2 linked regions of the Alligator mississippiensis genome follow. The main gene of each other region encodes a partner of the protein of the gene in region 2 in a complex. Links are inferred from orthologs where the notes say so. Each region holds a gene or a part of one and is shown on either strand. Other genes may lie near its edges.

The links. The genes of interacting proteins can lie anywhere in the genome.
Region 1: the proteins of GNAT1 (region 2) and UNC119 are in contact, whole or in part, in a crystal structure (PDB 3RBQ), measured with the Homo sapiens proteins. The link is inferred for Alligator mississippiensis from reciprocal best matches to the Homo sapiens genes GNAT1 and UNC119. Residues at the interface, in NP_000163.2 of Homo sapiens: Gly2, Ala3, Gly4, Ala5, Ser6, Ala7, Glu8; in NP_005139.1 of Homo sapiens: Asp87, Phe88, Val89, Arg90, Phe91, Ile105, Lys106, Lys107, Gly126, Arg127, Phe128, Val129, Tyr131, Phe137, Val147, Glu163, Leu172, Ser218, Tyr220, Asn230.

Annotation. Positions count from the first base shown.
Region 1 is NC_081837.1:1,020,718-1,024,458, forward strand, and holds the start of UNC119 (protein unc-119 homolog A), read right to left. Parts: upstream 2,949-3,741; 5' UTR 2,891-2,948; coding exon 2,704-2,890; intron 1-2,703. Other genes in the region: PIGS (GPI transamidase component PIG-S), read right to left, coding at 3,123-3,398. UniProt on the Homo sapiens protein: Involved in synaptic functions in photoreceptor cells, the signal transduction in immune cells as a Src family kinase activator, endosome recycling, the uptake of bacteria and endocytosis, protein trafficking in sensory neurons and as lipid-binding chaperone with specificity for a diverse subset of myristoylated proteins.
Region 2 is NC_081835.1:43,092,198-43,095,938, forward strand, and holds the start of GNAT1 (guanine nucleotide-binding protein G(t) subunit alpha-1), read left to right. Parts: upstream 1-780; 5' UTR 781-996; coding exon 997-1,102; intron 1,103-3,741. UniProt on the Homo sapiens protein: Functions as a signal transducer for the rod photoreceptor RHO. Required for normal RHO-mediated light perception by the retina.

The sequences.
Region 1 (3,741 bases), on a different chromosome or scaffold from region 2:
GAGGAGCTGGCGATTAGGAGATTATCCGCTTGGAAGTTCTTGGGCGATGACCAGAAATAGCACGGATGTGCATCCGAGGGGCAGGCGGGTGGCGCACGGCAAAGGGCTTCCTGCCGCTCCAGCCCACAGCATGGCTCGTGGGGCCGGGCCAGCCCTGGGCAGCCCAGCATCGCTGCCTCGACCCCGACGGCATGGACTGTGGGTGGATGAGGGCTTGTAACAGGGCACCGTCCAACGCCGCTCACTGGGGCCTCACCCACCCTTGGGGTTAGTCTGGTCATGACCAAGTGCAGGGCTGGGCTTCCCTTGCCACACCTGGGGGCTGCCCAGTTGCAGGTGCCCGGGACCCTCGCAGATCAGCTTTAGTAGGTCAGGCAAAGACTTCTTCTAAGTCAGCAAGACCCCATCCCCTACACACCCATCGGCTCCACACCCGGCATGGCCAGGGAAGCCCACAGCCCAGGTCAGGACAGGTGCGGGGGGGATGCCTGGGTGCCAGCAATGTGGGCAGCGCACTGCCCCTGTCAGGCCTCAGTCAGGAGAGCCAGCAAGAGGCTGGCTACCTGCTCAGAAAGGGCTGTGAGGAGGCAGGCAGACAGACAGACGTCTCTGCCCTCCTGCTGGGCTGCTAACTCATCACAATCTGCCCCCAGCCCTGGTAATCCCCAGTTAATCAAGTGGTAAGGTTTTCCTCTCTTGGGCAGCAAGCGAAAGGGCCCAGCTACCAGCCAAGACAAGGCTGCAGCTGCCTTCTGCAGCACCCAGGCCAAAGCTGAGCCCGCCAGGCAGCCCCAGAACACGGGCATTGCCCCAGACGTGCCCCCTGGCACAGAGCAGGCAGCCACGGAGAGCTTCACGCTGAGAGGACACCGACAGCCAGGATAACTGCCATCATAAGCATATTAGGGGCACGCTAAGCAGAGCCCAGCTGGCTTCCCCGCCTCCTCGCTTGCGCTTGTGACCGGACGAGCTTCCATGCACTGGAAGCAAGTGCCCCTGTGCCACGTGGTTCACAGCTCCCAGGAGCCGGGCACTTGTGGGCTGTGCCAGCGACCCCCGTGGAAGAGGCAGCTTCTTCCACCTGCTTGGCTGATCTCCAGGGCAGCCAGTGCCCAGCACGCTGTGGGGAGCAGTGGCCAAGCAGCTGCTTCTCTTATGGAGGCTGCCTGCCCGCAGCTCTCCAGCCCCCACCCCAATCCTTGCACCCAGTCAAGGCCCCTGGGAACCAGGTCTCTCCACCCTGGTCTGACACCCAGGTCTCTCCACCCTGGTGCCCGGCAAACGCGCGGACAGGCCTGGCTAGTGGAGGAGTCAGCCCCACAGAGTAGCAAACACCCGCGGAGCACCGTGAACCCACCGCAGGCTCTGGTAATGGCGTGGTCCTTCACGGACGGCAAGGCTTCACTCGCCTCAGCGGAAAGGAGTCATGGGCGAGCCGGGGCAAGTGGCGCAGCTACCACCAATGGTCTGACCTGGGTGCCACCTTCCTCAGCCCGGCTGCAGGGTTTAAGCCAACAGCTAATGCTGAGCAGGCCCCTGTGCAAGGCAAAGTACCTTGCCCCGCGGGGCCTGCCGTGGGCTTCTCTTGGTGCTGGACAGGATGAGAAGAGCCCGGCTCAATCCAGCCTGGGGCAGCCTGTGCCCCGGGCACTGCCCATCCTGCAAGGCTCTCCACCTCCACTACGCCAGAGACAGAGCAGCTGGGGCAGCCCCAGGCAGAGCGAACGTTCAGACCGATGCGTGCCCGACGGTGGCTCTTTGCAGGTGCTATGGAGTGCTTTCCCCGCAAGCACCAAGCATGCAACCAACCAAGCAGCACCCGCGCGCTGTCCCCAGCAGCTGTGGTGCAAGGCTGGCTGCCACCGGACTATGCAAACACGGGCTAACGAGGCACGGAGCGTGCTGCCTGCGGTTCGCTATGCCAGCCGGGCGCCTCGACCAGCACCAACTGCTCCTGAGCAGGCCTGGACCGAGCCTCGCTGCTCGAAGCACCACGGCCCAGAGGACGGGCAGGCCCGGGGGCACTCAGCTGCGATCCCACGCTATCGGAGGCCACGTGGGTCTCGCTGCAAAGCCGGTGCGGGCACCCCACCGGCTACGGCGCCTTCTGCAGGACCGGGCAGGGCTGCGAGCTGTCCTCTGCAGCAGTGCTCCTCCTCCACATCCCCGGGCCTGTCCAGGGAGCACGCCCGGCTCCGAGCGTTTGCCGAGCCGAGGCCCACGGCCCAGCTCTCCCAGCGCAGCTGCGAGGATGCTAGACGAGGCCCGGAGCAGAGCAGCAGGGCCCGCGCAGACGTCCCCCGACCAGAAGCACCGTGCCGGGGGGGGGGCCCAAAAGGCCTAGTTCAGTGCCTGTTGCCACCGCCGGGTCACAGCCCACGCGAGACCCTGCACCCTGGGGGCGGCCACGCGCCCCTCGCCAGCGCGTCCTGCCGCCGGGGCACGGGGCAAACCCCCGGCGCAGGAGCCTGGGCGCCGCGCCCGCCGCCCCTGCCCCCGGGGCCTGCCGACGGGCGGCTCCCGCGGTCCCGGGCGGAGGCCGGGCCCCGGGCACGAGGCCTGCTCGGCGGCCCCACGGGAGCGGCTCGGCCGGGCGGCTCCCTGCCCCGCAGCGGAACAAAGCCGCGCGCCCGCAGGAAGGCGCCTCCCCGCGCCCCGGCCCGCCTCTGGGGCGGCGGGCACCGCGGAGCATGCCGCGCTCACCCGTGGTGACCTTCTGCAGCCCCAGCACGTCCTCGGGGCCGATGAGCGCCTTGCGCAGCAGCTCGTCCTCGGTGCAGGCGGGCGCCGCCGCCCCGGCCCCGCTGCTCCGCTTCACCTTCATGGCCCCGGCCCCGCCGCCCCGCTCCCTGCCGCAGCCCGTGTCGGCGCGGAGGGCGGGCTCGCTCATCCCCCGCGCGCACTAAGCGCCTTTGCCCGCAAATCCCCCGCGCCCCGGCTCCGGCCGCCGCCGCCGCTCCCTCGCGGCCCGGCTCCGCCCGCCCGGGAGGAGCCTCCGCGCCCGCCCGCCCGCAGCAAGGACACGCACGGCCCCGTCCGGCTTCAACTTGTATTGGTGGGAGGCGCAGGGCCCGCCCGCGAGCCCCGCCGCCAGCACCCGCCCCCGGCCCCCCTGTTGCGCCTCAGTCCGTCTTGGTGGGCTCCTTCTTGCCCCGCCTGGCCTCCCGCAGGATCTTGGCCAAGGAGAGCAGGAGCGGCACGGCCATGGGCAGGAAGAGCGGGATGTAGATGGCGAACTTCTGGTCGTCGGGGAAGTACAGCAGATGCAGCAGCGAGGGGTCGAAGAAGGCCCGCTCCGAGGAGGTGACCGCCTCCTTGCTGGCCTGGAAGGCAGCGCCCAGGCGCCCCGCGGCCAGCTCCTCCAGCGCCTGCTGGACGGAGGCCACGGCACGGTACACCTGCGTGGGAGCACACCCTCAGTGCCCCGGTCCCCACCGTGCCTCGGCCCTCTCCCAGCTCCCCGGGGCCCCGGCCCAGAGCGAGCTGGCACCCCCACGGCTCCCAGCCCCCACGAGCCCAGGGGTACGGGGCAGGCACAGCGAGCACCTCTGCCAGGAACATGCTTGCTTTTAAAACCGATGCCAGCAGGGACTGGGGGCTGAGCAGGGGGTCTCCCGTCCCCACTGAAACCACCTAGGGATTCAGGGCGAGGGGGCAGGGGGAATAGGATGCTACAGAGGCACGCAGCCGCAGGACAGGGGCGTCTGTCACTCCAGCTGGACCCAACACCTGTGCCTGCTC
Region 2 (3,741 bases):
GGCAGAACACAGCAGGGACTAAGGGCAGACAGGGGCAAGGAGGTTTCCCTGGGGCTTTGCCCCATTCCCTAAGCCCCAGCGAGTTCAAGGAGACTTCAGAGTTCACTGCACTCCCTCTCTCTCCCCTTTGCCCCCCAGGAAACTCTGTGCCAGGGAGCTTTGGCCTGCAAGGCAAGAAAGAGCACCCTGCACTGATTCTGTCCATGCCAAAGTGGCCAGCCTGGATGTACCCTGAAGCCCCTTAAGCTGGGAAGCCTTGGTTCCTGTGTATGCTCACAGTGGGATACATTGCCTTTGTTGATGCAAGACATTGTACATGCAGAGACTTTGGGTCAGGTGCCTAACACGGAGTCCCCTATATTACCAGCAGAAACTGATTCTGACTTCCGGTGACTCACCCAAGGTCATAGAATGAGATGTAGGCTCAGGGCTCAGCTCTTCTGGCACCAGCCCCAGGCCACCTCCCCTCACAGGAAGCTTGGGGCATGGATGGTGGGCCAGGCTGTGAGGAAGTCCCTGCTTTTACACGTTGATGATGCATCCCTGGATGGGAGCAGATGGAGGCTGGAAATTGTTGCACTCAGCAGGTAGGGGGATTTGAGGGGATTTATCTCAGAGATGGGTTTAAGGCATCAGCTCATGGGGCTGCTCATGTCGCTGAGCGCAGCAAGTCTGATCAGAGTGAAACAGAGGGAGGGGAGCCTGGGCCTTACCTGCTCCTTGTCCACCTGTCCTTGCCACAGATTGGGCAGCAGGGAACACATGACTTCCATGGGCTTCGAAATCCTCCTTTGTGGGAGACTGGCTGGCACTGTGCATTGGGAGGAGTGTCATTCTTCTCTGGGGTTCACGACGGAGCAGGAGGGAGCAAGCGGAGGCCTTCCAGAGTTAGTAGTGGGTTCCAGAGGAGACAGGACAAGAGCTCTGGATACCCCCTGGGCTTACACTACTGCTGCTGAGTGGCTGGATCAAGAAGAGGAGTATACTGAAGACCAGATGGGAGCTGGGGCCAGCGCAGAAGAGAAGCACTCGCGGGAGCTAGAGAAGAAGCTCAAGGAAGATGCCGAGAAAGATGCCAGGACAGTCAAGCTGCTCCTACTGGGTATGTGCTTGGTTAGAGGCTGAGCCCTGCTTTTCCCTGATCTCAGCCAACACCCCAGATCCTGCACCAAACCCCTCAAACCTGCCCCCGCCCCTTGGCCCAGAGCTATCCATCAGAAGCCCTCAATCCGAAGCCAGCCAATACCCAGGTTCTGAGCCAGCATCCAGGCAGTGAGACTGTGATGCTGATCCTACCCAGGTTGTTGGATATGGTTTGTCATCGTGGTGGGAATGCTTGATGGAGGGACCCTTATATTGGCTTGATGGCCCAGCTTAGGGCAGTGCCAGGAGGAAAGAAGAGCTGGCAGCATTTTACTAAGGTATTAAGCACCCACAGGCCTTTGCGCTCAGCACCCCTTCCCTGAGATCCCAGCCCAGTGGGTCTGGGAGCTCACTCCTCTCCAGATCCAGAGCTGGTGAAAGCCAGAGTCCTGATCAGCGAGAGACAGCATGTACAGCTCTGCCTCTCCATGTGTGCTGCAATGCAAATGGCCCCAGGAAACCCTGATCCAGCACAGAGAAGGGGCTGTTTGCTTATACGTCAGCTTGGTCCCCAGCTGGTGTAAGCAACACTATTCCACTGACCATAGTGGGGCAGATCAGCATGTGATGTGAGTCTATGTGGTTCCCTTGGCTCCCATAGCACCCACCTTTGTAATTTCATGGCAGTTTTGCAAATTTCTGCAGAGCTGGAACCTGGACTTGCTATTGCTAATACTTCACCCTGTAGCCTTGCCAGGGCATTTTGAGATAATGTCTTGGCATCACTGGGAGTCTGACTGACTTGCCTGAGCTGGGAACAAAGCACTAGAACTCCAGGGCTTTGTCCCTGAGTTTGTCAGAGCAAATCATTTACAGTGTGCATGCCCCAGGAGCTGTGGGCACTGAAGCTTAGAGGAGATGCTGGATTGCTGTGATTGCTATGTTGCCCTCTCTCAAGCTTTCGCAATGTTGGGAACAGGTTGCAAAGCTCCTTTCTTTCCATGCCCTGCCCCACAAAGGCGGGGTGTTAGCACCTCTTTTTCTGCAGGCCTGGTCTGCAAAGCCTGGAGGAAAATGTCAGATCTCATTATCCATGCCCCAAGGATAGACACTGATCATCCATCTTACCTTAATGCCAGCTAAGAAAAGACACTGGGGCCTCTATAATCCTGGCTTGCTACCTCCAGTGCCATGAAAAACAGCATCTGCAGGGAAGCTGATTAATACTGTACATTGCTTCTTGCCCCTGTTCACTGCCAGGTTTGTGCTCAAGACAAGCCCTGAGCACGACACCAATAAGGAGGGCAGGGGCAGGATAACTGAGCAGCTGTCCCCATCTTGGCTGATGGACCAGGAACTGAACTGAGGGTTTTCAGTCCCCAAGCAAATTATTAAACAGTCAACTGGTGCAGAGCTAGTGGGTAGCAAGGTGGTAGAAAGAGCTGACAAGGGTTTGTCAAGAACAACTTGCCTTGTCTGATCGGACAGCTGGCCTAGTGAACAAGGGGAAAGCAATGAATGAGATGCAGCTTGACTTCTGTAAGGCCTTCAGCTCTGTCCTACATGACTTTCTCATGTAACAACTTCTGCATGAGTCACTGTTAGATGAACATACAGTTGATAAAAAACTTACCTCAAAGACTAGTTTCCAGTGGTTTATTGTCAAACTGGGAAGGCAACATAGACAGGTTACTCTAGGCACCTGTCCTAGGCCTGGTTCTATTCAATAACTATTTGGAGGATGAAATATAGGGTTGGCTTAAAAATTGTTGACAATATTGAGCTGGAAGGGCTTGCATGGTGGGGAGGGTAGGATTAGAATTCAAACTGACTTCAGAAGATTGGAAAGATAATCTGAAATCAGCAAGATGAGAATTAATAAAGACAAATGCAAAATATGATGCTTAGGATGGAGAAATCAAATGCACAAATAGGAAATAAGTATTCCCTAGAAGGGCAGGGAATAGTAGCGTATAGGAAAAATGAATCTGGGGGTTTCTAGCAGGCTACAAACTAAACAAAGTCAATAATTAAATATATTGTTTAAAAGGTAAATCCCAGTCTGAGATATGTTAACAGAAGAACTATACTTAGGACACAAGAAATAGTTGTTCTTATTCAATGTTGGTGAGGACCAGCAGGTGTGCTATGTCCAGTTTGGGGCTGTAAGAAAAATGGAAAACAACAAGAGTGATGTAAATTTTGGAAGCCATGACCTGTGAGACTAGATTGAAGGGACTGGCCTTGGTTGATCTACAAAAGAGAAGACATAACAACAGCCCCATCCCTATGTTGACATAAGGAGGATGGTGATCAATTGCTCTCCTTGTCTGGTAGAGGAAGGACAAGAAGAAATCAGCTTACTCCGCAGCAAAGAAGATTTAGATTGACTCTTAGGAGAAAGTTGCTTAGCTCTAAGGGTAGTGAATCACAGGCACAGATTCCCATGGAGGGGTGGAATCTACTTTGTTGGAGGTTTAGAAACAGGTCCTGCAAAATCTATCCTGGATGGATGGGCCAGGTACACTCAATCCTGCCTCAGGGCAGGGTGACCATTTAAGACAGAAGTGTAAAGATGGGTGGGCAAAAGGGGCATGAGTCCCAGGCACTGACTAAGGCAGGGGGAGGGGGGGGGCTGCCTCACCCTCCCATGCCCTG